Arabidopsis thaliana: one gene and its partners. The protein of the gene in region 2 interacts with the protein of the main gene of each other region in a pairwise test. Each region holds a gene or a part of one and is shown on either strand. Other genes may lie near its edges. The genes, in order: SPL4, MYB62, AT2G28920 and MC1.

Region 1 (7,699 bases), 5.8 Mb from region 2:
ATATAAGTATATAACAACCAAAATATTAAATTTTTGTTGATTATTAGATTAATCATTTTTGGTGATTAGGTAAATTCACTAAATTGCTAATTGTTGTCGTTTGTCATTGTTGTTGTCAACAATAAAACGAATAAATTTTTATTTTAGCATAAGCAAAAAAAGAGAAAGAAAGAATCATTTCGATATATGATAATGAGATAAACCCACCATATGTTTGGGCTTAATTGGCCCAATTAGGACATATTCTCGTTTTCCTCTCTCTCGCTATCTCTTGTTGCATTTTCGAATTTGGCTAAAATTAGAGTTGTGAAATAGGCAGTTAACAAAATTGAGAATATTACGTAATTAGGCACTTTTTGGAAAGTTAATTCCTAATAAGACACTTTGAAAAGATCAAACACTTTCGATAGGTTATTTGACTCATTTACCCTTTAAATATATTTCTTTTTTGTTTCATTTTATTTGTCTCTCTCCTTCTCCTCTCTTTTCTCTCTCTTACTCTCACAATCAAGCGAAGAAAATAAAAACTTTTACCATGATTTTGATCTCTCTCTCCCCCTCTTCCCATCATCAGTTAACTTATCAGTTCGTTCCTCAATTTTGTTATAATTGAATTTCTAGGATTTTGTTGAAATCTGAGATTCAGATTTTGCTCTTTCTCTCTCTCTCTTTACTGCAAAATTAGAATGAATCTTTGCTCTCTGGGATAGCTTCATTAATCAAGTTTCGGATTACAAAAACGATGTGAAGCAATCTGTCACCATCTTAAGGCGTAACATCAAGCACATCCGCGATTGGCTCGAAAAAGAATCCTCCGCTACCTTCTCATAGTTAGTACTCTCTCTCTCTCACATGATTCCTATTGATTTTCATGTCATTATCTACAATTCTCCATCTAACACACTAAGCACATGTGTTCATGTCTTTGATTTATGTCATTATCTCCAATGCTCCATCTTACATTTCTTCAAATCTTTACTTATATCTTAGATTCGTTCTCCAGTTAATTCTGGGTATCAATTTGATATAAGAAATTGATTAAAAAAAATTGTTTCCTTTTTTCATTGTTTTTTATGTTTAGCATCTAGATCTGCAATTGATATTGGTCGAATTTCGTAAAGATCACATTTTTACGATTTGAATTATTCCAAAAGTTTTCGTTTTTTTTCCCATCGAATCTGATTCTGGCGATTATCGTTCATATATAAACTTGTGTATTGAAATGAAACGACCCCGTGAGTCATTAGATGACCACATGGACTAAACCTGTTGGACGATCATCAATGGACACATGTTATCTTTGATTTGCTGTGAATTTGTTTTATCTCTCAGTAAAATTATCACTTTCTTGTTTATGCTTACAATATATTTTATGGTTTAGAGTTTTGTTTTACGATTTTGGATTTAGTGGATAAGTATTAGGAATTGAGGGTTTGGGTTTAATTTTAGGGTAAGGAATGTAGGCTTTAGTGCAGAGCCTTAAGGGTATAAGGTTTACACACCACAAACCATTTGCTTGTGTCAACGATATTGTCTCATATTCTAAAAAAAAGTTTGTTGATGGACCTTGTATTGATATATATAAAATGAATTGTTTGGATAAGTTTATGTGGACAATATATATTGGATACGTTAATACGTAATTAGGAACATAGTTTAATATCTGATATTTGTTCGGCATATATAATACTACTTAAGCTAAAATATTTTTATTTGATTTCAAGCATTTCATATAATGTTTACGTGGACAATATATATTGGATACATAATTAGGAATATAGTTTAATATATGATATTTGTTGGGAATGTATAATACTACTTAGGCTTAAATATTTTTATTTGATTTAAAGCATTATATATAATGCGAACTGTTTGGATATGTTTACGTGGACAATATATATTGGATGCATAATTAAGAACATAGTTTAAAATCTGATATTTGTTGGGAATATATAATATTACTTAGGCTTAAATTTTTTTATTTGATACAATATTTGATTAAACTAAATTTTTACAGATTTGACAATTAATTTTTAACTTGTTATCTCCATCTAATGCCACGTATATTGCTTTTAGTAATTGGCAACAAAATTAACTCATCTACAGTTTTTTTTCCTTCTCACGTTTGTAAAGGGTAAATTGGTCACAAAATCAATAAAAAAAGGTGGAAAAGTGCTCACTCACTCAAAAGTGTCCCAAACGTCCAAACTTTTGTTATAAGTGCCTTATAATGGAACATTCCCTTAAAAATTCTACCTAGTGAAATCTCTCCAGGAAAGAATCCGTCAAGGTCTAAAACCACTCGTTACTACTTGAATCGGCGCATTTAGTTCGTCTTTCTTTGCCTCTTTGTTGTTTAGTTCATGAGAATCGGTTCATTTGATAGGATCTTAGGTTTAACATGATGTTTCTCTAAGAGTAGTTATTAGGAATTTGGAGTAGTAATAGATGTTGGGGGTTAATCTGATAATTCATGTAAAATCTTTCACTTAAATGTTAAAACTTGTTAGAATTTAAAGTTGCTACGATTATTGGTTGTAAAGATCATAGCAGAGGATGATTAGGTCGGTTGCAAATTACATTCATTTCCAATTACTTGTGCAGTTGTGCTCCAAATTTGTTTGAGAACATCTCAAAAGTCACATTTTTTCTTGTTTAATAATTAATCCTGTTATCTCTAACTTTAGTATAGTCATATGTATTTCTGATTCAAAATCAGGTAATGTTGCAAACTGGTCATGCATGCCAAGGGAATAAGATAATTATTGATGACGTCTAAGGAGTCTCTCATCATAGCAAGTGATGGACCCTGAAAGGTTTGCTTCCACTATAATCTACTCTCAACGATTTACTAATAATGGTAGGTGTTTATTCAAATATTCTATTCTACTACTATGTTGGCAAGGAAAAGCTAGGATGATATATCTCCTTCGTGGCTCTGAAACTTCAGAGTGACCGTGGCTTTTGGTTAGTAGTTTCCCTGTGCTTTTGGATAAGTCACACTCCTTACTCGTATCTGTATTCAAAACGTTTACCAGTTAGCATTCACACATCGACTAGGTAGAAGTATTACACATATCATTAGCCATATCTTTGAAACATACAAGATAACACTCAAGGTTCAAGTATAGTCTTAGCGTTTGCATATAGCTGATAACATTAGAGAGTACTAGAGAGAGTGGTAGTTATTTATTTCTCTATAACATTGTTAGATACCACAATTTTAGGATTCTAAGAGAGAAGTTTAGATGACAGAAGAGAGAGAGCAGACAGCTTCTCTATCTAATCTGTGGTCGCTTGAATGATGAGTTTGGCATAGGAAGTGTCATCTCTACCCTTGATCTTTCTTGATTCTGCATCACCACCTGACCATTGATTCCTCTCCGACCTGATCCTTCTCCATAAGTACTCTCACCAGAGCTCTTCCTTCTTCGCTCATTGTGTCCAGCTAAGCGCCTCCTGCAACTTCTCTTAGCTTCATCAAACTCTTGGAGGTCATGAAACCTGTTTCAAGAACTCAAAAAAACCATTCAAAGATCCAGACAAAAAGTTTTTTGAAGGGTAAATTAGGTTGTACGTTACCTACTGCATTGTTGACAAAAGCGTTGGTTAAGTCCTGAGAGAAAGACAGAAGATGCCTTTGCATGAACTTCACACACTTTGTGTCTCCGGTGATACAGTTTTGCCTCTTTCATATCAGCTGTGCATCTATCTACTTGGCAAAGCCGCAACGAGCCACCACGATTGATGCTACCTCTAGACCCTCTAACTCTATCCCTACCTACTTCCTCTTCTTCATCCGTATCAGTCTCCATATCTTCTTCCACAAGGTAAGACTTCTTTTTCATGTAACCTTGTCCTTGTGATCTCTTACCCTCCATTTTGGAGTCTTATAAAGATGGTTTGTTGGAGGAAGGAAACTCTAATAGGTTAAGCAATGTTTGAGGAATGGGACTTGATGATATTGTTGACGAAATTGAAGGGTTTAAAAGGTGAAGTAAAGTCGGGAGATGGACCACTGTGTTCTTGTACGTTTCTCTGGTGGAATAAGTGCATGATTACGTTGATGTGCTAGCTCAGAAAAATAAAAATTAAAGTTTGGGAAAGAAAGAAAAAGAGATTTACATAGATAAGTATTAAAAACATTTTCATTAGTTTGTTTGATTTAGATTCAAGAAATAATTGATAGTAATATGAAAACTAAAGATCAGTTTTCCTAGTTTAGTGTTTGAAGTTCAATCTGAAAATTTGTTTCAAATTTAAGATCTTTTTTACCATGATGATATCATTGGTTGCCTTTAAGAGGAAGTCTTTATTGGCCTGCCACTGTGTGCAATAGTACATCAAGGTCCATAATTTACACATAGGCTTAAACTCATAACAATCTTTTTGTTGTTTAGGAACAAAACAAAAAGTACTCCTAATAAATTGATGTGACTATTGAATTCGTTTGCTTGCAACCTTGAGGTCTTCTTTTGGTAGACTCTTATTGGAAATGCATTTACCGTAACTTAGGATCTGATCACTGTTTTTTTGTTTGATATATATTGTTTTTTAGACATGGATAATTATCACGTGTATGGACCAGGACAAACAAACGAATAGAGTAGATGCTTATATACGATCTAACCCTTTTGATTTCTTTCTTGTGTTAACATTTATTATTATCACTATTGCTTATATAAAGATTCTATGTAGAAGTGGAGGAATTACAGATTGAAAGATGGAAATAGAACAAATGAGATCACTTACTTTAATTAAAGTGTTGATGCAATAGATATCTGGAACCATTTTAAGACAGAGATTTGTTGTGAGTTCTAATGCATGTTTTTCTTTTACTTGTTATCACCATGAAAGTAATAAAAGCCTCTCACTTTTACCTTCCTTTCTTTTTTACAGTGTGTTGTGTGGAGAAGCAATCACTGACAGATTCCACTGGCATCATCATAATTAACTCTCTGTGAATAGTCAGTGAAACAAATGAAAGTAACTTTGAATCTTTGAGTTGAATAGGTAAAAAGAACCAACAAAGCAGGAAACAGATAAGTTCACTGATTTACTCAAGTGTGTAATTTTCCTTAAACATTTTACAGTGTTGTTGTCTTATTGTTTCTGAAGTACTAGAATTAGTGGGTAGTGAAAGAGACAAGACACAAAGGTTTCACATGCGACATTGTACTCTCTCTGACTTTCTGCCTTGCCTTACCTTGCCTTACCTTGCCTGACGCAACTTAGCTTTTCCAAAGCCAAAAGCTGCCTTTTTTTTTTTTTTTGCATAACTGAATAAACTTTGTCCCTATGAGTTTCCGGTTTGGGTTGTTCCTGAAAGATTTATTTAGGTTGATTTTCAAACCAGAATTAGATTGAGATGTAATAAACAAATTAAATCACACATTTCTATATTCATTAAACATTATAACAATTCGGTTTCGATTTACAATTGTTTCCTTTGTTTTCTGTTTGTGAGTTGTGACTGTCCATGTGTCACATCTCTCTTATATATGTGCAATTGTAAAATTTGTGTCATAAGTAACTTACATAACCTATGGGTAAAAACAAGTGATAACAATGATTCACTTCTTGGAATGTTATAATATGTTGGAACTTGAAAGTTTTTGTTAGTGTAAATAAAAGTGGTACTCTTGGAATCATCTCAAGTAAAAGGTTGATATTCAAGTTTTGGACTATCTAACAAAAAAGGTGATTCCAAATTGTGACCTGGAAACTTTACATATGTATATGATCCACGAGAAGAAGAATATATATTAAAAACAGTTTTTTTTATATAAAAAAAAATCTTTCAATCTGAGTGATAAGAGTATTATGGATGATACTAATTTGTTCGCATTAAAACTTTTACAAATGTTGGATTCTTTCCTTTATTCATATTCTGCATTTACTTACTTCGTTCCCCCGCGTCGCTCTTTTTACGTTAGCAAACAAAACGGACGTAACTATCCGTAGGACCTTGTCCGTAGCTACACACCTCCATTGATTTTTTTTTTAAGATGCCTTTGGTTTTAGAATCCAAATTATATGATTTGTCGAGCTCAGTGATCAATTTTGTCAAATTTATGTTTTGCCACGTATCAAGATTTGCATGGGTTATAATATACAACTAGCCAGTTAATAGAATTTGTTCAAGACATATATCATCAAGATTTGCATGGATTATATGGCTAGTTAATATTTTTATTCGAAAACATTTTAAGGTATTTAAAACTATATATGCGTAAATATTATATTACTTCTCTACAACGTGTATAATCATTTAGATCAAACTATTAAAGATTTCTAGTTTAGGTGCATATTTATATTTTTTATAATGTTTATTCTAAATGAGTCGAATACATTATACATGAATTACTCATGCTAATAATAATCCCAGAACCGGTTACAAATTTATGGCAGGCCTTACTCAAAAGTCAAAATTATAATTTTTGTAATCATTTTTGAATGTAATAAGCTTATAAGTGAAAAGAACGTGAGAAAGTTTCATAAAATTTAAGTCAAAAAATCAGAACAAAAACAAAACAAAGTTTAACTTTCAATAACCTATAATTTTTTGAGCCCTAATCGTTGATTGGTTTATGTGACCTCTGGACCGGCCCTGAATAACCGTGATAATCATACTTATTAATTAACCTTCAATATAGAAAACAAAAAAATAAAACCAAATATCTGAATATTGGTCCATTAACTTTTGGTCCACTATCCACAACATTGCTAGAGTAGTAATCTTCAACAATACTAGAGCATCTTTGTGTATGCTTGTGAAAATAAAGTTTTGGAAGTAGTACCAACAGATTTCGAATCGATTCCTGTGAGTGCCAAAAGCTATATTATTACTTTCGATCACACGAGGAATGAGATTTGTCTCTTCGTTTATAGGAATTTCAACGGAACAAATCTTCTTCTCAGATTCTTTCATATATCTAACTATGCGATCCAGCTATCTCTTTTACATACACCAACAAAACTATATCCATTTGCATTCTCATTTCTTACGTCATAAATATTTACACTTGACAAAAACAAATTTAAATTTAAATAGAATATATTCCAAAACGCCATCTTGTATTTATCCGATGTTCAAAATTCCGCTATACGCTAATCGAATGTTTCGGAAAAACCTTATCAAAAATCCCCCTATGATAATTCAATTTGAAATTAATTTTGATACGGGATTTGATTTTTTTTTTTCTTATAATTAAATGATGTTTTTTAAAAAAAACTGAAAAATAATAAATACATTAATCGATGCTTAAAAATATTAATTAGACAGACGTCTAAAACATCTTGTAACCAATTTATTTCTAACATTTTAAGGAAAAAAGAAGAAGAAAACAATAATATAATGAGCTCGATGATGAGTGACATGGAGGAACATCTGGATTTATGCATGTGGACACTTACTATTATGTTATGTTGTGTCTCGTTACGCCATCAAGTTTCACCAAATCTTTTTGTTTTTTTCTTGTTTTTCACCATTTTTTTTTTCTTTTTATATGTTTGTTTATTTACATATATCTCCTATACGATTACAAATTACAGATAAACCCATATATTTCTAACAGAGCCCTCCTTCAATTCTCATGTTTTACATATTCTCCCGAATCCCATATCTTTATCGGCTTTCCTGTATAAGGAACATCATTTGGCCCTGTATGGAATTCAGTGTAATAACCAAGTTTCCGGA
Region 2 (7,680 bases):
CCACATGGAAATATTACTCGATTTAGGAAGGAATAAGGTGCCCTTTGCCTTTGGGATTTAAGGATAATGCTGCTGACGTTATCGTACTCTTTCACTATACTTGATTCTATGCTCTCTACATGTGTATTAGTGCAGAGTGCATATGGCCTCACTTATCCTTCAATTCCTTTTTTTATTTTTCTTAAATTGGGATGGTTCATTGTTTCTATGCTCTCTACACAGTCGACATGTGAGATACGAGGTTGGTTCACTATTCACCGAAACATGACAATCTATTCATGTCTTAGGTTTGACTATAATAGTTATGGAAGTGAAGATATAATCTGTTTGAACAATGTGAACAAGATGAACTCGGAAACACGGAACAAGAAAATGAGCATATATATATATATGCGTAATACGTGTAACGTGTGGTTGTAAGATTTGGTGCCAAAACAACACTGTTTACTTTACGAGATGGTCATAACTTTTGTTGTAAAATGTCTTGTTTCATGAACTAAACCAGCTGGTGTTCTTAAGTTGGTGCCTCTTCTTAAACAATAATCTTGACTTTTGACTTTCTCTAGTCTTTCATACTAACCTACGGCCTACCTAACCATACCAACGTTAATATACCAGTGCCACCCACTCTACTTCCCCATTATTTGTAGTAAGACTTTTTTTTTTTTTTTTTTTTTTTTTTTGGTTTGTAGTATTTCTTAACCAAAAAGTAATTTAAAAGACATATTTCTCCAAACTAAAGATTAGAACATTGTACGTTAATATATTTTGTGTGAACTGAAATATTTGGTCTTTTTCTCCCTGATGTTCTTTTCGGGTTCAACCGATGGAACTATCGATTTCGGTTCATAACTTTTGATATTTCTGCGTATCTCCAAATTTTTGATAAATGAGTATTGCAGTAGAAATGTTAGTTTGGCCCATCTCGACCTTAACAAGCCATACAGTTCTACGACACTTTAAATTGAACTTGCCTATTTTAAGATCAAGGTTTGGTCTCACTATCTGCCTGGTTGTATGGTCGACCAATCCGCAGATATATAAACTATTCAGACAATATAAAGATTAAGCTTGGTGATATGTAGACCAAACATGACTTCACTTTATTTGTTTCCCAAAAATTTTTTGAACATGAGAATTTCGATTACAGTGATTAAAATAAATGTGCTTGTTAAGTTGGGAAAATATGATTTTTTTTGGTTTCACTCTAATACCATATCAGTCGAGAAGGTCCGATCGATAGCCCACTTTTTATTTTGTGTGGGTAAGGGTAACTGGAGAAAACCGCAAAAATAGACACTTAACTACTTGACTAAAAACATTTTTCAAAATATATATGATTTTATGCAATTAAAATTCCACAATATATAGATCATTGTCATTGGAAATGAATTTTGAAGATGCAAATGATTTGGCCGCGTGGATTATGTTCTTACAAAATTTGAAATTTTTTTGCAACTAACATATATCCGTAATTAATGAATATTTGACCTATACAGTAATGTTTCTATTCAAATTGGGTCCACGTTACTCATGTCTTTTCTAAAAGTATTTGGCGTTTATCCACCAGTTTTAGATATTTAATCTTTAAGTTATACAATTTTATAATTCCACGTCCATAGCAGGACCATCTACGTTTCTGGATTCGATCATAAGGAATTTTTTTTTTTTTTTTTTTTGTATATTGTCTGAAATACTAAAATCTTTACATACACAATGAGTGTGATCTATCGTTCATAACCTCTCAAAAGTGCATCAATGTTTGTTCCAACTTTTAGTGGTACCCTTTGGGTTCAAATCATTGTGGAGTTTCCATGTACTTATGAAAGGCTTTTGAAGTGACCTCCAATAATTCGATCCCATTAACAAGACTTCTCCAAAGCCACCTTTCTCTATCATTTTAGTTGAAGCTCTTTTCAGATAATTATAATAAATAATTGATGGGTCCTTTGTCTCTATTATCTTCTTGAACCAACATTGATTACTGCTGGTATACAAAATGCGCATATATTAAAACTTTTGTATGGTTTGTCTAAATGCGTATATATTAAAACTTTATGTAAGAGCATTCAACTATGTAATCAATTCTTTTATTATTATTTATGATTCGTTAATTCCACAAAAAAACGATTTATGTCAATCAAGCCAAATGCCCTGTAATATTGTCAACGATCTTACAAAGAAACACATCAAATTTGGTGAAGGGACAGATGGTTGAGTCTCTATCCCCATCATTTTAATATCTTGGATAGATCGACTCTCCTAGCTTTTGGGTTATTTCACCTGTTGAGGTGAGATTAGATATGTTTTCTTCTCACTAAAATCCACACAAGTCTCAAAGATTTCAAGACAAGAGACTACCCTTTACTATTTACTCTTAAGTCTAGTCATGTATAAAATTGACCTGGTTAGTTCATAAATTGAAGTTCCATACACTGATACAAGATTTCTTGAATTTAAAGACTTATATAACAAACAAACAAGCATTATAAATAATTATCCAAACATTGACTTTGATCACCAACTAAGAGGAAAAATTTAGACTAATTTAACATGTTTCAATTCCAATCCGAAAAGAATATGATTAAAGTTTAAAACTTCATAAAATTCCATACATTGATAAAAGATTTCATGAATTCAAAGACTTGTACAAGAAACTATCATTATAAATATTTATCCAATGACTTAGTAAGTACTCGCAACAAAGAAGATACAAATTTAACATGTTCTAGTCTCCAACCCGAGATAATATGGGTAAAAGGTTCGAAACTTTTTGCTTAGTTAAGCAAAAGAAGTATATTAGTCCATATAATAGAACCGTAGTGGTAGGCTCTACCATCTCATCTCTTGACGACTTAATTACTCCCTAAACTGCCAAATGTCATCCACATTCCACATGGGATCTTGTGTAACATCCTCGTACGCTGAATAACCATCCGCCACGTGACATTCCATTGAGATGTCCGAGTTTACCATGTAATCCTCCATGCCAGGAACATATCCTCCGAATTCTTGAACATTGCCTTCATGGAAACACATCGAGCCATCGATGATATTGGTGTTGCTTTGATCCATAAAGTGTGGAACTGTTGTTAGATGAGACATGCAAGTAGAAGTTGAAGAAGAACCGTCTATGTTGCTGAAACCCGAGTAATCTATATCTTTTTGCATACTTAAAGAGTCGTGAGATTGAGAAGGAAGAAGAAGAGAGTTGTTGTTGTTGTTTTGGGGACAACAATAAGTAGTAGTAGTGGATGAGTTTTGTTCCATCTTCTCGATCAATCTAGGGACCCAAAAACTACGAACAGCGTCAAAGAACTTGTCGCTGTTAGATTCGATGTTGAGTTGACGAGCTTGTTTTTGAACTCTTGTTCTCCAATAGTTCTTGATCTCGTTATCCGTTCTTCCTGGCAAGTACTGTGCAATCTTGGACCACCTTAGATAACAAATATTCGTTTAGGAAAAAAGAAAAAAAAAACAAAAAAAGAAAATAAAAGACTCTTGAGATATGAAAGTGACTCATCACTCACCTATTACCCCATTTAGAGTGAAGCTCAAGGATCAAAAGCTGTTCTTGAGGAGTAAGATTCCCTCGTCTTATGTCGGGTTTCAAGTAATTCAACCATCTCAATCTACAACTTTTCCCAGTTCTCTTTAGCCCTGTTCTCATTTTTGTTAAAGATAGTGATTATATAGTAAAGTCAGAGAATCTAACTAATAAACCAATATCAAGTTCTTGATTAATTACCAGCACATTTGGCGACGTGATTCCAACGACCCTCACCGTTATGGAGGATGTAATTTGTGAGAAGTGTGTCTTCCTCCAAAGTCCAAGGCCCTCTTCTTAGTTCTTCATCTTCACTTTCTTTGAAGCTCTTCTTCTTCTTCATCGAATTTTCCATACTTAGTTTAAGTTTCCTAATTACTTAATGATATTTGGTTTGTGGTGTTTTCGTATCTTTTAAGCTCTATGCATGCATGACTGTATACAGAGAGAGAGAGATAGACTTTTAGGTGCTTTGAGAAGTGAAAGTGATTCAACAGGTTCTTGGGAATTTATAGACTCGTGGTCGTGGTATTGGAAAATGTTGTTACTTTAGCCATCAGCTTGCTTTTTTCCAATGAAAAATTAATTATCACACGTTTCCAAATTAAAGTAAATTGTTTTACTAAATTAGCTTCTCTTTTTAACTCATACAAAATATTGTTATTTTTTTAACATTGCCAAGGACATTTATACATTCTAAAATTGTCAAAAAACATGTTTTAACTCATTAGTATTTGTTATCACAAAATATCTCATTGACATTTTCTTAATCGCGTCTCTGTTTTCATCTTACGCATGCAATTTTTCTGAAATTATTTTTCGAGCTACCATTGTTCAAAAGCCAACACATATATGATATATGCAAACATTTTTTTTTTAAATCATCTGGTTTTTGTTTCAGTTAAATATGACTTTCTTAAAAAAAAAAGTTTTGGATTAGTCGAATCCTGCGATGAACCCTGGTCCAAGTATATAATTCATTAGAAGCATAGAATATATCGATACAGTTTCATAAACTTTTTTATGCGACGATGAAACAGAAATGGAATTTTGGTGATTTAACTCTATGGATTAGATGTTCACGTGAAAAGAATATGGAACAGAATTTTGGAAGAAGAAAGTACGATTTAGATTCTTAAATACTAAATTAACTATACAGGAAAAGTTTACAATAGTCATATTCATAATATGCTATAGAGTTCATTTTTAACTCTTACCTCTGTGATAGTGTATACTAGTCATTTTTCTTTCTTCTACTTCTAAAATTGTCTTTATCCCAACTTTGGCTAACAGTTTTTATAAAAATTTTGGTTTTCTATTTGGTAATGTTGCTGAATATTGAGATTGAACATAGTTTAACATAATTATTGGTATGGGAACAAGAAGCATACATGATACATGTGTCTTGACTCGAGACAAACAAGATATTACAAAACCTAATAAACCACTGTCCCACAAATTATTGATTAAATAAAAATTGTACCAAAACAATCCAAAAATTGGAATAAACACTCCAAATGTTTGATCAAGAGTCAAGACTTTTTGTTTAGTAGCTTTGAGCTATTGTGGTCGATGTGGCATCATCCGAATTCATATCCATATATTACATATGGTGTAATGAATGATATAAATTCTTGTAACTTTTATGTAAATGGTAAAACTAGAAGACAGCTATTTTTAACAACAATTTTCTAGAAGCCAGCTAATTTATGCGGACTTAGTATAGCATATTATCCTTTCAAACTTTGAATATTCAAAGATTCTTCTTCCTATATTAGTTTTCATTAGCTCAAATCGTATTGTATAATATTTTGTTAAACAAATAATAATTTTGGAAAAATAAGGAAGGGTCGTGTCGCTTTACACCGGCAAGTCAAAAAATGTCTATGTGCATGTATTAAAACTTATGGTATTGCTAATAACTCTCACTTACTGTTCAACCCAATCTTTTGAAGATGATAACTCCCAAAAACCAAAACAACATGTAAATAAAGCCTAAAGACCAGGAATAAAGAAAACAAAGTCGATTTGACATTTGTGTCTTCATTATCCTCTCTTATTATATAATCAACAATGACATAATTGTTACTATGTTATTAGTAACAGTCATTTTTGTTCTATAGAATTACAGTTACATTCATTTCCTTCAAATATTATCCATATAATTGGACTAACGTAAACAAATTTAAATATTTTTTGTCGTCTACAACTCACATACGCATATTTTCAAATTTAAACTCTACTTATAGCATAACAATTAACGACGACAATAATCAAATCACGAGACTACAAAAGAAGATGATTGATTGTTACCCGATTCTCGAGTTCGTCAACATCTACAAGATATATATGATTGCAAGATTCTATCGGAGGGTTACAAGTTATGCAACTAGGTTGATCTTGAGACCAAGTTGCTATATACAAGATTCTTGTTAAAGTATGATTCGAGTCCCATACATTATACAACGAAACAATAAACATCATATACTCTGGATAATCGAAAACCTAAAGATAAGTTGGGACACAAAAAGAAAGTGTGTGTTTCAAGTTTACATATCCTTTCCAAAAATATCCATCTCATTATCGTTGTTTCCTTTTTCATATATCAATACATCTAAGAAGAAGAAGAAGAAAACAGCTTTTTGCTTCATAAACAATTTGCTGACTTTGTAATAATGCATTAAGAGAGAGAGAGATGTGAAGTTCCCAACTTGATTGATGTATATGTACTTTGAAATCGAAATGACACGTCAACTTTTATTAAAAAGAACTTGTGTTTGAGACTTTATTGAAATGATTGAGAACAAACTTGAAATCAGAGTAAGTATTACAATGCAAGTCCTAGTCGATGTGATGGATCAAAATCTTTGCAAATAAAACAGAGACATGTATTGATAGTGTAAACTGAGACCACCAGGCTTGTGTAAATTACTTGCTCACAAGAAAATAAAAGCAATTCACTCTTCTGATGGCAGGCATTCATCAACCATCTCCACGAGGTTTGGATTCTCTAGTGCAGCCGCCACACGTTCTTTATCGTTTAGTTGTTTATTCACTGCATTTTAAACACCAAGAAACCAGACATCATGTTAAAGAAGTACACTCGATGTAAAGCAAAACATGCATACCAAAAAAGATGGATAGATATTGAAAAATGACATACATGCATCTTCTGTTGCATGAGAACCAGGTGCTACCCTTATATCAATCTGAAAAATGAAGATTCGTTTCAGAGGACTGAGGCACATAAAACATTGTGCGAGTGTGTTTTAAGGCAGTCCTAACTATATATAGTAGAGGCTAGGGCTATCTTCTCTTCGCAAGTATCAAGAACAGTTGATTAAGAATGAAAAATTAAAAAATTTCTCTGCCTCATATATCATCACAAGGAGAACATGTGTTGGATCTCAGTTACGTTCAAACCACTCTCGATAATGTATAAATCAGAAAATGGGCTCAGAAGATCATCTTGACAAACTTACAGGAAAAGGGAACCGGAAAATCTTAGAAATGAAATAACAAGAAAGCTTTGTACCTTGTATCGAGAAGGAAGGCTTCGTAGAAGTTTCACACGGACACAAAGACCGATAACGGTTGCCATGCTACAATGTTCGACAGTTGGAGTGAACGTAACCCTGAAAAGAAATGGTAGAGCTCAACAGATTGGCTCAAAGGAACACTAAAAATCCATAACAAAACGTTCAATCCCAACATTTTACCTAACATAACTGTTCTCATCATCCACTTCAACTGAGTCTTCTGTAACTACTCTGAGATCTTCCAGAGTATTAGGATGCTCTGGATCTTTGATATCTCTTATATGATTTGTGTATTGTTAAAGAAAACAACAGAAATAATCCAATATCATTCTGTATCAACTAAAACATAGATTCCATTTGTTCACAGATTACCAAACCGATACCACGCATAATTACAAGAAATTTAGCATTCGAGAACAAAAGATTCATAGGTAGGCTTTAAGCTAAGAAGCATGTCAAATGGTTCCAACACCTACTTCGAAAAGATATGCATATGAGAACAAAAGATTCATGACTTCTAATAGTGTAAAGAAGCAAACTTCAAGCTAAGAGGCATGTCAAGTTGTTCCAAAACCTATGCATACACTAGCTACT
Region 3 (6,811 bases), on a different chromosome or scaffold from region 2:
CTAAGGCCCAAAATTAAAGCTCAAAGTCTAATCCCATCTATTCATCAAAAGCCCAATCTATTTTAGGAGTTTCTTAAAAGAAAATTATTGGTTGTTCTGTTTTACAATAAATATTTTTGTTTCTAATATGCTTGTGGTATTCAACATGTATAATTATTTATTTATGATTTCTAACTATAACCAAAGATTCATATACTTTAGCCAATTTCCTCATATATAAATGGGAAAATGTCAAAAAAATCACGAACTTTCAAATTTAGGACGATTCAATCTTGAATTTCACGGAAGACAAATAAATCGTAAAGTTTTTGTTCACTTTCTAAATAAATGATAAAGTTTTTGTTGAATTGTCATTGGAGTCATGTCGTTGAGTAGGTTAACATAATTATTTTACGGCGTTAATGTCTCGTTTATCTCCTTTGTTAGAACAAAACAACATTGTTTATTGCAACTCGTTTTGTCCGTTAAAACAAATTTAAACCCTAAATCCCCAAATCGATTTCAATATCTGCGATTTTGAGGTCAAAGTAAGTCTGTGATTTTGAGATAATGAAATCGATTTGAGAATTTAAGGTTTCTATTTGTTTCAAAAGACAAAGCGACGTCGTTTTATTTTTTGGGCAAAGACTTAATTACTCTCTCTCTTTAACTATAGTGATAGTTGCTAAATACACATCGGACAACTCGTTATGGTTGAGTATACACATTAGAGAGTTTTATAGAAACCACAAAATCATTACTACTCTCTATACAAATTTTCATATTTCGAGGCATTTCTCATATTGAAAATAGCTAAATTGCATATTTAACGTCAACAATACTCGAATGTATTCATTTCAAAAACACTACATTGTTTTTTATTATTATTTAAAGAGTAAACAAAGGAATCCACACCATATGAACCAAATTGGTCCCTAAAGGAAGATGGAGAATCAGTAGAAATAATGATTGTTAACGAACTGAGAAGCGGTTGCAAGCGCGCCACCAAGAATGGCATCGATCACAATAGTGTCTTTGCCTTTCTTACCAACCGCTGAGAGCACTGCTCCTGTCGCCGCGCCTGCTAACATTGCGTTTTTCTGATACAAACAACTCAACCAATTAGTTCTACAAAACTGTAAGAATTGAAAAGAGTGTGAAAATGTATTAGTAGTATACCCAATCTCTGCTGCCACGGATACGTTCGATTCCGTATTCTGTTCCAATGTACACTCCACCAGCAGCTCCTGATCATATTCATATGCCACAAACTTTAGACTTTTCTTAATCACTCAAAAATGAGATAAATTAGAAAGCAACTTACCCCAGTAAACACCTTCTTTACACAACTTCTTAAGCTGCAACAATATTCAACAAAAATTTCAGAAACTTAAAAAAAGATTACACATGTCTTCAAACCAAAACACATAGATTTGATTCAGTAGTGTACTCACCGCATGCTCCAAAGTGCTCTTGGAGAGACTCCCTACAATATATGAACCATGGAGTAAAAAATGATATTTTGCAGCTCCAACAAACAAAGGTAATTAATGATAAGCACAAAAACAGATCCATCAAAGGTGTGTGCTAGTTGTTCTATATATATACAATACATTCTTCTATGCCTTTACTAATTCATCAACATCACCAAAAACACAACAGTAAAGTTACATAATAAAACTAGACAGAACAAGAACTAACACTTATGTGTTGTGTTTGATAAAGTTAAGGGCTTACCTTTGTCGATGGCCTTGTAAGTGTCTTCTGCAAGAGATTTAGTGACTCCAACCTAAAACCCATCAAAGAAGAAAACAACAATGAGAAACAGATCACAAATTAACAAAATGATCCATCAAAAAGAGATGAGTTTTTTTACAGCTCCGATCTTGAGGAAGGCATCAACGGTGAGATTGAGAAAAGGGTTTCCCATGTCCACTGCCACCGACAGCTTCGGCGTGCTAACAGTCCCGGAGAATGTGCTTGAAGGCATCTTTTCTTCTTCTTTCTTCCTCTGTTTTTGGTTTTGGGATATTTTTCTCTTTGATCTTTGCTTGTTCTGTAACAAGTTCACCTATTTCTTGGGATATAAAGGGGCTTTTAACGGTGGATATTTTAAACTATGGTTCAACGGTGGAGAAGAGATTAACAAGGACCCACGACGAGATATGTATTGAGCAATGAGCCAGTTAAATGACGACATTGTCCTCCTAGGCTAGAGCCATGCCAAAAATCCAACCCACAAGTCTCGTGATCTCTTTACAACGACACTTGCCGACGTGAGCTCTAACTTGCCGACGTAAATAATGGAATAGAGTAAAAAGACACAAATTAACACCAAGTATCTCAATAGTGTTATAACACAAGCTTGAAACAAACAGACCAAACCAGAGTATGGAGAGTGAAAATACAAAGACATGTTTCAACACAAATCAAATCCAACATACAAAGACATGTTTCATTATTGTACATAACATTGATAAGAGAGAAATGGAGAGTGAAAATGGCTCATATAGATCGATTTCCTACTCTCGCTCTTTCCTGTGATGACGTTTCCTGCTCTTCTTCTCAGACCGCTTAGAAGAACCACGTCCAACGCGTGAAACATCATCGCCTGAAACATTTGCTTCTGAGTCAGAAGAAGCTGCGACTTTGTTCCTCCGCTTCTGTCTTCTATCATCTTCAGAAGACTCTGAATCAGAATCATCAGAATGATTACGACGGCTTCTCCTTCTCCTCTTCTCCTTTCTACTCTTTCTCTTCACACGTCTGTCATCTTCATCCTCAGACTCATCAGAATCATCTTCATCTCTCTTTCTTCCTCTCCTCTCCTTTCTTCTCTTACTCCTTCCCTCTTCCTCATCCTCAGACTCACTCAAACTCCTTCTCTTATGCGAACTCCGCTTCTTCATCGACCTCCGCCTTCTCTTCCTATCTCCAGAATCCGAATCAGAATCAGACTCATCAGAAACACGCTTCTTCTTCTTCCTAACCGAACTCGTCTTCTTAACACTACTCCCACCTTTCTTCTTCCCAAACCTCTCAGCAATAATCCTCTCCATCTCAGAATCAACATCAGAATCAGAACTCTCACTCTCCTCTTCCTCTTCACTACTCACCTCCTCAACCTCACCTTTACCAACACCTCTCCTAATCTTCTCCAACCCCGACAAAACCGCAGCTTCAATCGCACCAGGATCTTTCTCCTTATCCTCCTTAGTACTCAAGAAATTCCTACACTGAAACGTCAAATGCCCAACACGGCCACACTTCTTACAAGAACCACGAGCCTCATCGTTATTCGAACCCGTAATCCTAGCAAGAGCCAAAAGTCCCTGAAAACTCGCGTACGAGTTCTCGGGATCTTCGGTTTTCTGTTGTGTCGTCTTAGGCTCTTCTTTACTAGTTGGTGCATAAGGATCATAACCAATCGCACTCTGCCATATTCCATGAGTCTGAAGCGCTGCACTACTATGCACCCGATTGTTTGCGGGCATACGCACTCTTCCTGCTGTCGCCGGCATCTTTTCGAAACCCTAGAAAAAACCTTCACAAACCTAAACCAATAACAGAGAAATATAGATTGATTAATACCTAACCAAATCAATATCTTCTCCAAAATACAATTACACAGAAATTTCACAACCCAATGAAATTACCCAGATTAAGCTGAAATCTAGGGTTTCAAGCCCCAAATCATCAAAAGCTCACATACTAATTTGCCGATTAAAGGGATAGATCCTAAATGTGAAAGAAAAACTCAGAGATCCTAGGGTTCCAATCGATCCTAAAGAGAAAGAGAAGAGTAAATAGTTTACCTGATTCGAGTGAAGGAATCGTTAGGAAGAAGCGACGGAGAGAGATGGATGAAGAAAAGGTTCAAACTTTGTTCTTCGCCAATGGCCTCTGAGGCAAAAAGGAAAGATTGGAAAGTCTCGAGGGTATATTATAAAGATTGGGAAATAGTTGGAACCGCCCTTTAGCTTTTGTTATTTTACATTTATATCCTCCAAATTTTGTGTATTTCATCATTTTTAGTTTTGTCACATAATTCGGCTGGGCCTGGCTGCGTTGAGAGGGATTTGGGCTGGGCCTGGCTGAGTAGTTAATATGTGTTTTTCTTTTTTACTGCTGTAATCATCCATCATCAAATAGTAACTGAAACAAAAAAAACTCCAGATAAAAAACAAACAAAACTGCGCATTAGCTTAATTTAAATTTAGTTAGTTTTGTGTTATCTTCATGACAAATAATAAAATGAAATAAAAACTCATAACTTGTTTATGATTAACCTCCAATTAACAATTTTAATTAGCTCGAATATTCTCCTCTTAATCCTTCCCGCCACATTCCTCTCCGCATAACTATAACTAAATTGCGTTAATTCAGTTTTTCACCAGTTCATCACACACTAATCGTAATTAACACTATAACAAAAAAAAAAAAAATCCATATTTAAGAACATCACTATGCATCCCCACAATTCAATAAACTCAAATCAATTTCACAAAATTTTCCAATAAGCCAATTTAATTTCTTAAAATAAAAAAATGGCATCAAGTTGTTGTGGGGATTACGTGGCGGCGGCGTCACCGGAGATGTCGACAGTGATGGGATCAGAATCAATCGTGTTGAGACTTCTTTGCGTCGTCTTTATTATCCTCTTCTACGGTTCTATTATTCTCCTCTGTTTCGTAATGTACCCGAAGCTACCAAAGGAAGAAATCGGCGATGAGGAAGCCGGAGAGCCATTACCTCCCGCCGTGAGACTCACGAAATGCGGCGGTGGAGACGGCGGAGACGGTGACGGAGTTAAAGCTGACGTGTGTGTGATTTGTTTGGAGGATTTTAAAGTAAACGACGTCGTTAGAGTTCTTGTGAGATGCAAGCACGTGTTTCACGTGGATTGTATAGATTCGTGGTGTTTTTATAAGCTGACGTGTCCGATTTGTAGAGCTCCGTTTCAATGGTTTGGTGGTGATTGGTAGAGGGAGAAGAGAGCAGGTTTAGGGTTTAATGTTCGGTACGATCCGGTTTAATCCCAATTTCGATATTTTTACTGTCTTTGGGATTTAGAAATTTAAGAGGCGATCTTAAAGATTTCTCTCCGGGTATTTAAAACTGTGATGTATGTGTACATATTTATAGGAATGGACACTACCGATTACGGTTTTTTTTGTAACACTATACCGATCATGGTTTGGTTTCAAAATTTGCGGAAATCTAAATTTATGTTATTAATTTTAATAAGATCAAATTATAGAATAACACTTTAGGGTATGTTAATAATTTTATAAATTTTTTAGCCTTTTGTATATTATCGCAAAACTTTGAAGATAATACATGTTAATTTTATCGACTAACATACTTTTATTCAAATAAAATTATTATTCGGTCATTCAAAATATTAAAGTAGTTAACAATTATATGCATTATACTTACTTAGATAATTGTAGAAAATATAACTAATTAAACAATTTTATCTGGTTTCCGTATATCTTTACATTTTTTCTGTTGTTTGGTTTTAGATCTTATTTATTGGACAAGTGGAACTTCCTTTTCTTCGTCTCTCCTTTCGTTCTTCCTCTTCTTTCAAAAATTTCATTGTAGAGGGCAATGTGGAACTTTAATTCAGTTGATCAAAATAGAATTCTATGTGTACTAGTACTAGTACTAGGTATATGTATATGATTTGATGCTGCTTTTGAGGATAACAGAACATATGTTTTATAGGAGTCATCTTGAACTAACAACTTAATGTCGTAACTTATCAATAAATTAATTATCAACTTAATGTGGTAACTTATTAGAAGCACCTAAAGACTCAAAACAGTCTTATATTTGTTTTTCTATGTTTAGAATCTCAACTTTGAATATGTGAATTGTTTTCGTAAGATCTTTGCTTAAATTTTTGTCTAATTGTGGGTGATGATGTTGGTTTCGATGAGGTTAAGGATGACGAGTCTAATTGTGGGTGATGATGTTGGTTTTATGATTCTGATCAGGATGCTTCTGATGAAGGTGATATATATAACATTTCCGTTTATTGTGGATTTTGATTCTTTGCTTATTTCACAATAATCAAAATTATTTTTCTTTGTATTGTCCGAGTCGTTTGTTACATACCACATATGTCTCGTAGTGTTTTATGGGCCGAAGCCTATCCTCCACAATTGAGGCTACAAAGGCACAACTTTTATGGACCTTTAGTCCTTTAGTCTTTATTTTCGAGTTTGTTTTTGTATCATGAATTCTTCTTTCATTAGTCTTGTCTTCTTTTATTTTTTGCTAAAAACATTTTTTTACAAAAGAATTTGTTGTTCATTTTTGTTGATAAGATATGTCACATTAAAGGGAAAATTTGACAACTCTCTCTATACCTAACCTGCCTCTTAATAATTTCGATTTCGGCGTTGACTTTTGTGCAGACAAAACTAACAAAGTACATGTGAACCGTACGGAATAAGCATCATCATTTGAAGAGTCAAGCATCACTATATGTTCTACGGTGACATCATAACCCACTTTGACATTTGCTCCATCAATTTGTTTGACTTTTCATTACATTAATTTCTTTCTTTCTCTTCGTCAACACCTTCCTTGCTTCTAGATGAAATCACATTTGAAGCTTATACGTACAAAATCAATGTTCTAGTATGTTTTGTTGCGTTTGACGTGATGATCTAATTTTTAAAAAATTGACTTTTCATTGACCGAGAAAAAGAGAGAGAGTTTATTCATCCTCTATGAGAATAACCAGTAAATGTAGTCGGATGGTAGCTGGATCTGATATAATGGTGAATACTGAATAGAATCGTCTATTGGAGGAATTGAA
Region 4 (8,082 bases), about 25 Mb from region 2:
GCGAAGGGGTGCACCACAGCTGCCAAGTTTGATTAAAGATATGAATGAATGTATATAGAATAGAAGCAAATGGTGGATAAAGGTACGTACACGTGATGGGCTCGGTGACAATGGAGGAGTGGTGGTGAGAATGGTAGCGAGAGTAGAGGAAATGGTGGTGGAGAGCTCTGTGAAACCAGTAGTAGAGAAACTCGACGGGACCAGCGTGAAGTAGAGCCATGAGGATGGCCCCGTCTAGCCTCCATGGGGGAAGGTGGGAGGCGCCTGGGAGCTTGATGTTTGCGAGATACATGAGGAGAGTGTTGAAGATGACTTGGTCGTCCCAAGTGCGCTCTCGGTCCACTTGCTCAAACTCAATGGGCTTGTCCACGATCTTGTTCGTTCCCTTAGCCGTCCTCTGGCGAGACACGCTGATCCATATCTGGCTGTGAACTATTCTCCACAGCATCAACACGACTATCATAAGTCTGCTGAGGTCTTTCTCCTCATCCACAGCCGTCACGTACGAGTGCATGCTCGCCATCACCAACGGGGCCACCAAGAGGTACTTGAAGCTACCAAGGGGACTCCATGGCCACTCCGTAAGAGCTCCGGGCCTCGACGCCATCCAAAGGTACTTGAGCTAGTCTACTGTCGAATAAGTTTGAAGGAAGTGCAATTTGGAGGTACTTGTTTATAATGTGACATAAGAATAATAATAATACAAAGTATTATATAGAGGCATGACCATGTGGGCTCTGATGATACAGTGTTGAAGAAGCACATGGTGGTGGAGCCCCGGTTTACAATAGTAGAAATGTTACAGCAACATTTAATTTAAGAAAAGGAAGGAAACCTCAAACTTCAAATATGTAAGGAGAGGAGCCAATGGGCATTGATTCGCCTTAGCCAAAATTCGGCTTTACCTCTGTTTACACATCAATGTCATTGGCCCACCTCCACCGGCCCCAACGCCGCCCATTTAATGAAGTAAATGAAATTCAAGTCACGTACTTTCCTTCTTTCTTCATTCAATTTCAATGGTTGAGAGCCCAACATCAAATCAAAGCCCAATAACCAAAATGCCTGGTTTTTTTCTTCTCAATAATAGAAATAATGCAACACATTTTTCATTTATTCAGGGACCAGTCAACATCTCCATCAAGCTCATCTCCTTTCAAAAACTTTCTCCTTTTCTGTTTTTTGTTTTTCTCGATTTTTCGAAAATCCGCCAGCTCGAGCTATTACGCTGGGAATTCAGAGGATAAAACACGATATGAAGAACGAAATCAGCATTTTGGAGTTGATTTTACTGTTTCTGTCACTCTCATCAGTGCTAGCTAGCTCCAAATTGCACGGTAACTCCTTGCTTTATCCCCTCATAACATATGCGAATATAGACTTGGATTTCTCGTTCAGCATTTGGCCAGGCTTTATTTTGAATTTACAGCCACTCCCTCTGATTTAATCTCGAGTTCGCTTTCTTTAGTCAGAACCAGATTCGACAGTTTATATTATGTTGATTCGTTTTAGGCGGACTAAGTGTTAGTTAGAATGGTTGCAGGAAACTCAGCTCATGAAATGGTGAGCATCTTGAACCAGAACAGAACAGCTCGGAAACTAGGCAAACTAAATGAGAGTCCCGGTCTTGGCTGCATGGCCCTCCAGTATGTTGAGCTCTGCGAGGGGAATTGCAATGTCAACAACACTCTCAGCTGTGAACACCCTGAAGACGACTTCACTCAGGTGTTTGCCCCAAACTGTGGTGTAGAACTCCCCACTTTTGGTACCATAACTGGCCATATCCTCGGCTGCAGCTCTAAGTATGCAGCACCAGAAGTCGCTTTCTCAGACATTCTCTTTAGAGATAGCAGTGCGTTGTCGGTGCTCAGAAACAGGTCGCATACCGAGGTTGGAGTGGGAATGGCTAGGTTGCATAAAGGTACCTTCTTTTGGTGTCTTCTCTTTAGCGATGGTGTGAAAAACTCCTCCTTTGTACTGGAAGATAACGGCCGGGGTATCAAACAAAGAACAGGCTGCTACAGCGGAAGTGCTTTTCCTTGCAGCAGCAACGCACACATGATTTGTATGCGCCTTCTGAACAGCTTTCTGGGACTTCTCTTCTCTTCCTTCTGTCTATTCGAGAAACACCTTAAATTTTGATTCTGAAAGGCAAACCATTTGCTGCTTGTTTGTAAAGACTAAAGAATAGATGGCACATTTTGTTATCGAATCACCAAATCAATGTTTTCCTTTATTCTTTTGAAAGAAAAATAAAAATAAGAAACAAAAGGTGGTTATATGGACGGATTCTCAAATCACACTCGCTATACATAAAAAGTGACTTGTCCTTTACTAGAGAGTGAAAGGCTTTGCATAGACATCGAATGTTTGGCAAGCAGTCAGTTGAGGCTCCTGTCAAAAAACAGATTTAAGAAAACATTTATCGATCTGTATCAACACAAGAGAGCAAGAAAGAATTTTACCTGTCTTAATCCCCCAATCGCACTTCCCCCTGTCAGAAGCATGCTCAGCACAGTCGTCACAACTCCACCACTACCACCACCATCATTCCCTGTATTCCTTATTGTGGTGCGCATAGAATTCAGAAGGCTTCCATAGGTTGTGCCTTGTGCGCTGCGTTCAATTGCTTGAATAAAACAGAAAGTCATAGCACCCGTAGACGTGATCTTCGACAGCGCCTGTGTATGTGTTTTAATCATGAGAGGAGGAACCAACTACAACAGCAAGACGTATGATTAGAGTCGTTCTACTTACTGATGTGTCGGCCGAAGTCTGATCATCATCACATCCACTAATTGAAATGGCTTCTCCACCAGCAGTTCCTTTCCACAAACCTGACCTAGGCCGATGATCCTCCCACACATACTGCCCAGCTCTGTTTCAATTAAAAAAAAAAATGGATGTATGTTAAATATAACGAGAGAGGTAAGCAACATCCCTTTTAGAAGCGGTTGAGGGACTAATAACCTGTTCATTCTGCATAGGAAGGGTAAATCCAGAACGGTACCACTATGGCAAGCATCGATAATTGAATGGAGCTTGACACCATGTGGAAGAGGGCGTACAATGGTTGCGTTGATCTCATCGTCTACAATCATCCCCTGAGTTTCAAAATCCAGAGGACAGAGTGTTTCATCATAGCCATCAACTTCATCACCGTTGTAGTTTCTTTGACGCGAACCATGACCAGAGTAGTGGAAGACAAGTGAGTCGCCTGCTGTGCATCCCTGTACGAGCCAATACAATGCCATCCTCATGTTTTGCTTGGTCGGGATACGATATGGATCAGTTTCTTCCTCTGAGAATGAAAACCATCCATGATGAACAATTAGTTAGTCAGCTATGGAATGCAACACATTTTTATCAAAGTGGTTCGAAATGGTAACTTGGAATGTGTGTTTATCAGATTGAAGAGGCCAAGGAAAATTGTATTCAAAATCCAAGGAATAGTAGTATAGTAGCAAACATAGGCATTTGAAAAGATAGAAATACTCTGTACCGGTAAGCATGAGAATTGAATCTGGGGAGAATTTGAATTTGTTGATGAGAAGGTGACGCATGCACTTGGCGTCGTTGATGCAGCCTTTGAGCTCGTGGCGAGAGAAACGATACGAGATGCCACAGATCACGGCCCTCTTCCTGCCATGGGGGTGAGGCAGCTGACCGGGAGGCGCGTGGATTTGGGGAGGCGGAGAAGGGGCGGAGGAAGGTTGCGGAGGAGGGGCGGTGCGAGGGTCGGCGATATGAGTAACAGCCTGGCAGAGAGCGCAGCGAATAGATCGGGCGCCGGATGGGAGCTGGAGAGGCGTCCGGCAACCGGAGCAATTCACCAGCATCGGAGGAGCGTAGATGCTTGAGGGAGGTGGCGGGTACATTATTATTCTCGGAAGGGAGGGAATCAGATGAAGACGAATCGGATTACCAAATCGCGTGAGGAAGACGACGATGCAGTCAATGGCGCACGTAAAGAATCGTCGTCAAATGCGATTAAAGGCATCTGACTTTTCTTTGGCAGCTCACCGAACCTTTTACTTTCGAAAGCCCATATAACAGTTTTTAAGCCCAATTCACTACTGGAATCCCTGGATCTGTTTCAGACGCCAGAGTAAAGTAAAAGAATGAGAGAAAGATCTTCTTATTCAATATGGTGGTGGAGAAGCTCTAACTCTCTAACTAAATAAATAACCACTTGCTCTCAAAGTTTAACAGGTATACACCATGATTCACCAATGGGGAGTAAAAAGTAACATTAACAAACACTTTCCACTTGTTTACTTAGATAGATCATACAAACACAGCCATTGCAAATGAAACAACAGGATACTACTAGCTAGGTGATGTTCTGAGACATCATTGGTATTCGAGGATCTGCATTCACGAGAACAACGACCGTGTCTTATTGCGTTCCAGTCGAGCTTCCCTCTGAGAAACAAAATAACACATAGGTAAAGCAGCAAAGAAGTTGGAAACGCCAAAAGCCTAAATATTCATTCACAACAACAACCTCTTTCTTCTTGCATTCCTTGTACACATCAAAATGATCCTGGCATTTACTCTTGTCTGATCCAAATTCTTCAAGACCTGATAAGAAATCAAGGGGTCAAGCTAAGAGGCATAACTAATGAAAACGGAAACACATAAACAATCAGGAATCAAACCCGACGTTATCAATTGATGGGACCTAAATCGAATCACTGACATGGGATTCAACCCACTAATCTAATCACCTTGAGGAAGCATAATGAAATAGATGAGATCTAATCAATGCTAATTCGTTATGGAACTTGACAGTACTGAAGATAACATGTCAAATCCTATCCTCGAAGAAACAATCACAAAGGGTGAGATCAGGAGCATGACTCACATTTGAGAGAAGCAGAGTACTGAAGATAACATGGAGAATCAGATATCCGAGCCGCGCTAGGGTACGCCGCCGCCGCGCCTTTCGTCGACATTTCCCGATCACCGTCTCTCTCTCTCACAACCGATTCCGCGAAGATATCTTAATGGAGATGGGCCTTTGAGACTCTCAGACTTATATATTCAATATCGGGCCTTTTATCCGTCCGGCCCAAAATAAAAGAGCACAACCTAACCTCTCCAATATTAGTCTTAACAAGTAACAACAATCAAACAAGAGAACAAAGGCTAATCCAGTTCCCTAAGCAACACTAATTCCAAATAGCTGTCACAAAAAGGGACACAGCTCTTACATTCATGTTTCACTAGGCAGTCTCTTGTGTACATTATACATATTTCGCATTTCCTCAGTTGACTCCGGTTACAAGATTCGTTTTTTAAAGCAAAGATCTAGGACTATCAGATTACAAATCATCTTGTAGCTGTGTTAGAAGCGCATCGGTCTCATGGGCATCGATTTCACTGTTGTTTACTGTTCTGTTTTCGTCCACATCAATAAGAGCTAGGTAAGATTTGTCTTCAAGATCCCCCGACTGCCTTAACAATTCCAAAACGGCCTCTTTACTGGTAACATCCGATTCCTCTTCACAGAGCTTGAAGAAACCAGACAGCATCAACACCTTGGGCCTCCAATTGCTGGACCCTTCAGCCGAAAAAGCATTTCTAAGACAAGTCAAAGCCTCTGAAATACACCTCTTTCTGGTATGACCAACAGCTAGAATCTCCCACGTACTTGAACTTGGTTTTCCTCCCATTTCAACCATGTGGTCGAACAACCCCTCAGCTGTCTCTAGTTGGTCGTTTTTGACATACGCATTCATCAGAAGATTTGGTATCCTGGGGTCATAAGAAGACTTGACTGGAAGCCATTCCTCATATACCTTCTCGGCCCCTTCAATGTCTCCCATCCTCACCAGCGACGAGACCAAGGCATGGTAACCCAAATTGGGAATGCTCGGGACAACAGATTTGTAGACGTGCCAGACTCGGTACAGCTCTTTCTTGTTACCAAGGCTGCCATACAAACTCAAGAGGTAGTGATACGGAATGCGATTACGACCAGTAATCCTTGCTTCAACCTTCCTCAGTGCATCTTCGGCTTTCTCAGTTTCACCCATCTTTATGTACATTGTGGCCATTGTGCTAAACGTGGTCCAGTTGGGATAAATGGAAACATCCGATTTCATCTGCTGATACACTAGTTCCATTTTCTCAACTGATCCTAAGGAGCCGCAAGAGGAGAGCCAGATGTTGTAGGAGTAAATGTCGAGACGTATATCTTTCTGCTTCATCTCGAAGACCATAGCGTCGACTTTGTCATACTCCCTGAGGTTCATGTAGAGAGTCATCATGACGTTGAAGGGAAGCGGGTGCAGGGCGTAACCTTTGTCCCTCATGGTGTTGAGCAGGGCTTCAGCCTTTTCTCTCGACTTGGCCCTCACATAGGCATTGAGGAGGGAACCATAAACTCTCCGGTCCTTAAAATTCTCAGGGAGCTGGAGGAAGAACTCTTCGGCGTCTGGAATGCCACGCACTTTGCCGATTAAGTCGAGCTGGATTGCAGCATCACTTGCAGACAACCGAAACCTTTCGCCTCTGTTGTTCATCCAGTCGTACACCTATGAAAACGATACGCGATCAAGTAAGTAGTGTTAAAGATACAAAATAAAGCGAGGGCAAATACAAGGAGGACACGGACCTCGAGAGCTTGGTTGGCACGCTTGTACTTGCGAAGCTCCTTGACGACCCGACAGAGCTCCCACTTGGTAAGCTTGCGGCCGGCTTTCTCCCACTGATTCAAGACGGAAGCAGCGCCAAGCTCTGGCTTCTCCATCAGCGAAATCTTCTTGTAGATGGCATTCCACTGGACAATCGGCCTTCTCTCGTAGTCCACCGTGCCGTAGCCATAAACCTGGGAGATGGAGCACACGATTGCTGCCGTCTTCTTCGAGAGAGCAGCTACGGAGACGACAGGAGATCTGCAGCGAAGGAGACGAGAGTAGGAGGCGGAAGAAGCCAGTGGAACATTGCGGTTCTGCACCGCCGCCTGAAGAAGCATCTCTCGTCGTTACTCGTTAGGTTTCGGATAAGTCGAAGCTAATGATTTTTTTTCCTAAACGAGAAGGGGGAAAAGACGGAGGGGTATATTGGTAAAACTAATTAAAAGGACCAATTGATTCAATTGTGACGCGTAACTCAAAGCCCAAAGGCCGATGATGCTTCTGGATGAATTTGTTGAATCCATTACAGTAAGTCAGTAACAAGCATCTCCGTTGTTACATTACATCATGTCCTCTCTGAGGAATGCTACATTACATCGACCCAAAACATTGTCTCTATTTGTAGGATTACCTAACATCCAGGCCATTTCTTATGAAAAGGATCTTCCTTCTTCATCTCCCGGTGCAAGTATACTTTGGCTTTTTTTACCTGCAATTCAACATTACATTACATTACATTCCATGCACCTATTTTGATGAAATACTAGCCCCACGCCCACCGATTTACCAAGACAATGGGAGGGAAACCTCGCCGCAGCTCAAGTCTCTCAAAGCCTTCTTCATAAAATAAGCACTTGTATCCATCTACAGAGGAATGCTCGCTGCACCAAGCATGACAACAGTGTTACATGTTGACCACCAGTGGTATCTTTTTTTATTTACTATGAATTGCTTTCTACTATATGATGAAATACTCACTTCACCAGGTACGTGAAATTTCGGTTTCGCAACTCCTCCACTACTATCTCTTCTTCTTTGGAATATCTGCATTGCACAACAAAATTTTATATCCTCCTAAATAGATAAACAGATACCTCTTCTATGTATTCAAAGGCAATGTAGAATGATCCCTTTTCCAACAAAGTGATATTCGTATCCAAGAAAATGAACATGAAAAACAAACAGATGCCTCATCTCGCACAAATGGGTGCTTCCGAGTGGCAACTTTTTTCCATGTACATTGATATTTCCTTTACTTTTACCAACCCTAAAACGAGGTAGTACAGCTAACATACCTCCACGGAAAATCATCTTCACAAAAGCGAGATATTCCATTCATCGCACCAAAAGTGTCTATGTGAACCCACTCTTCCCCAGCTACATTTGCAGGATGGCCTGAGAACCATGGAAGGCACCAAGTCAATTAATCATATTGTAG

The links.
Region 1: the proteins of MYB62 (region 2) and SPL4 interact in a two-hybrid assay, tested with the Arabidopsis thaliana proteins (one large-scale study listed by BioGRID).
Region 3: the proteins of MYB62 (region 2) and AT2G28920 interact in a two-hybrid assay, tested with the Arabidopsis thaliana proteins (one large-scale study listed by BioGRID).
Region 4: the proteins of MYB62 (region 2) and MC1 interact in a two-hybrid assay, tested with the Arabidopsis thaliana proteins (one large-scale study listed by BioGRID).

Annotation. Positions count from the first base shown.
Region 1 is NC_003070.9:19,802,660-19,810,358, reverse strand, and holds SPL4 (squamosa promoter binding protein-like 4), read right to left. Parts: upstream 4,097-7,699; 5' UTR 3,882-4,096; coding exon 3,583-3,881; intron 3,505-3,582; coding exon 3,279-3,504; 3' UTR 3,017-3,278; coding exon of another isoform or gene 2,969-3,016; 3' UTR 2,654-2,968; downstream 1-2,653. UniProt on the Arabidopsis thaliana protein: Trans-acting factor that binds specifically to the consensus nucleotide sequence 5'-TNCGTACAA-3' of AP1 promoter. Promotes both vegetative phase change and flowering.
Region 2 is NC_003070.9:25,600,064-25,607,743, reverse strand, and holds MYB62 (myb domain protein 62), read right to left. Parts: upstream 4,069-7,680; 5' UTR 3,903-4,068; coding exon 3,749-3,902; intron 3,661-3,748; coding exon 3,531-3,660; intron 3,437-3,530; coding exon 2,860-3,436; 3' UTR 2,563-2,859; downstream 1-2,562. Other genes in the region: AE7 (MIP18 family protein (DUF59)), read right to left, coding at 6,505-6,602, 6,711-6,756, 7,083-7,182, 7,267-7,360. UniProt on the Arabidopsis thaliana protein: Transcription repressor of phosphate (Pi) starvation-induced genes. Negatively regulates Pi starvation responses via the repression of gibberellic acid (GA) biosynthesis and signaling.
Region 3 is NC_003071.7:12,413,491-12,420,301, forward strand, and holds AT2G28920 (RING/U-box superfamily protein), read left to right. Parts: upstream 1-4,526; coding exon 4,527-4,964; 3' UTR 4,965-5,086; downstream 5,087-6,811. Other genes in the region: OEP16-1 (outer plastid envelope protein 16-1), read right to left, coding at 933-1,079, 1,159-1,226, 1,304-1,337, 1,434-1,465, 1,717-1,768, 1,856-1,969; CXIP4 (CAX interacting protein 4), read right to left, coding at 2,502-3,500.
Region 4 is NC_003070.9:407,679-415,760, reverse strand, and holds MC1 (metacaspase 1), read right to left. Parts: upstream 4,098-8,082; 5' UTR 3,879-4,097; coding exon 3,503-3,878; intron 3,302-3,502; coding exon 2,971-3,301; intron 2,879-2,970; coding exon 2,758-2,878; intron 2,682-2,757; coding exon 2,466-2,681; intron 2,395-2,465; coding exon 2,335-2,394; 3' UTR 2,207-2,334; downstream 1-2,206. Other genes in the region: AT1G02190 (Fatty acid hydroxylase superfamily), read right to left, coding at 1-19, 91-607; AT1G02180 (ferredoxin-like protein), read left to right, coding at 1,256-1,337, 1,544-2,142; AT1G02160 (Cox19 family protein (CHCH motif)), read right to left, coding at 4,400-4,584, 4,868-4,958; AT1G02150 (Tetratricopeptide repeat (TPR)-like superfamily protein), read right to left, coding at 5,328-6,542, 6,623-6,982; ALG12 (homolog of asparagine-linked glycosylation 12), read right to left, coding at 7,276-7,353, 7,432-7,525, 7,623-7,688, 7,940-8,039. UniProt on the Arabidopsis thaliana protein: Cysteine protease that cleaves specifically after arginine or lysine residues. Does not cleave caspase-specific substrates. Acts as a positive regulator of cell death.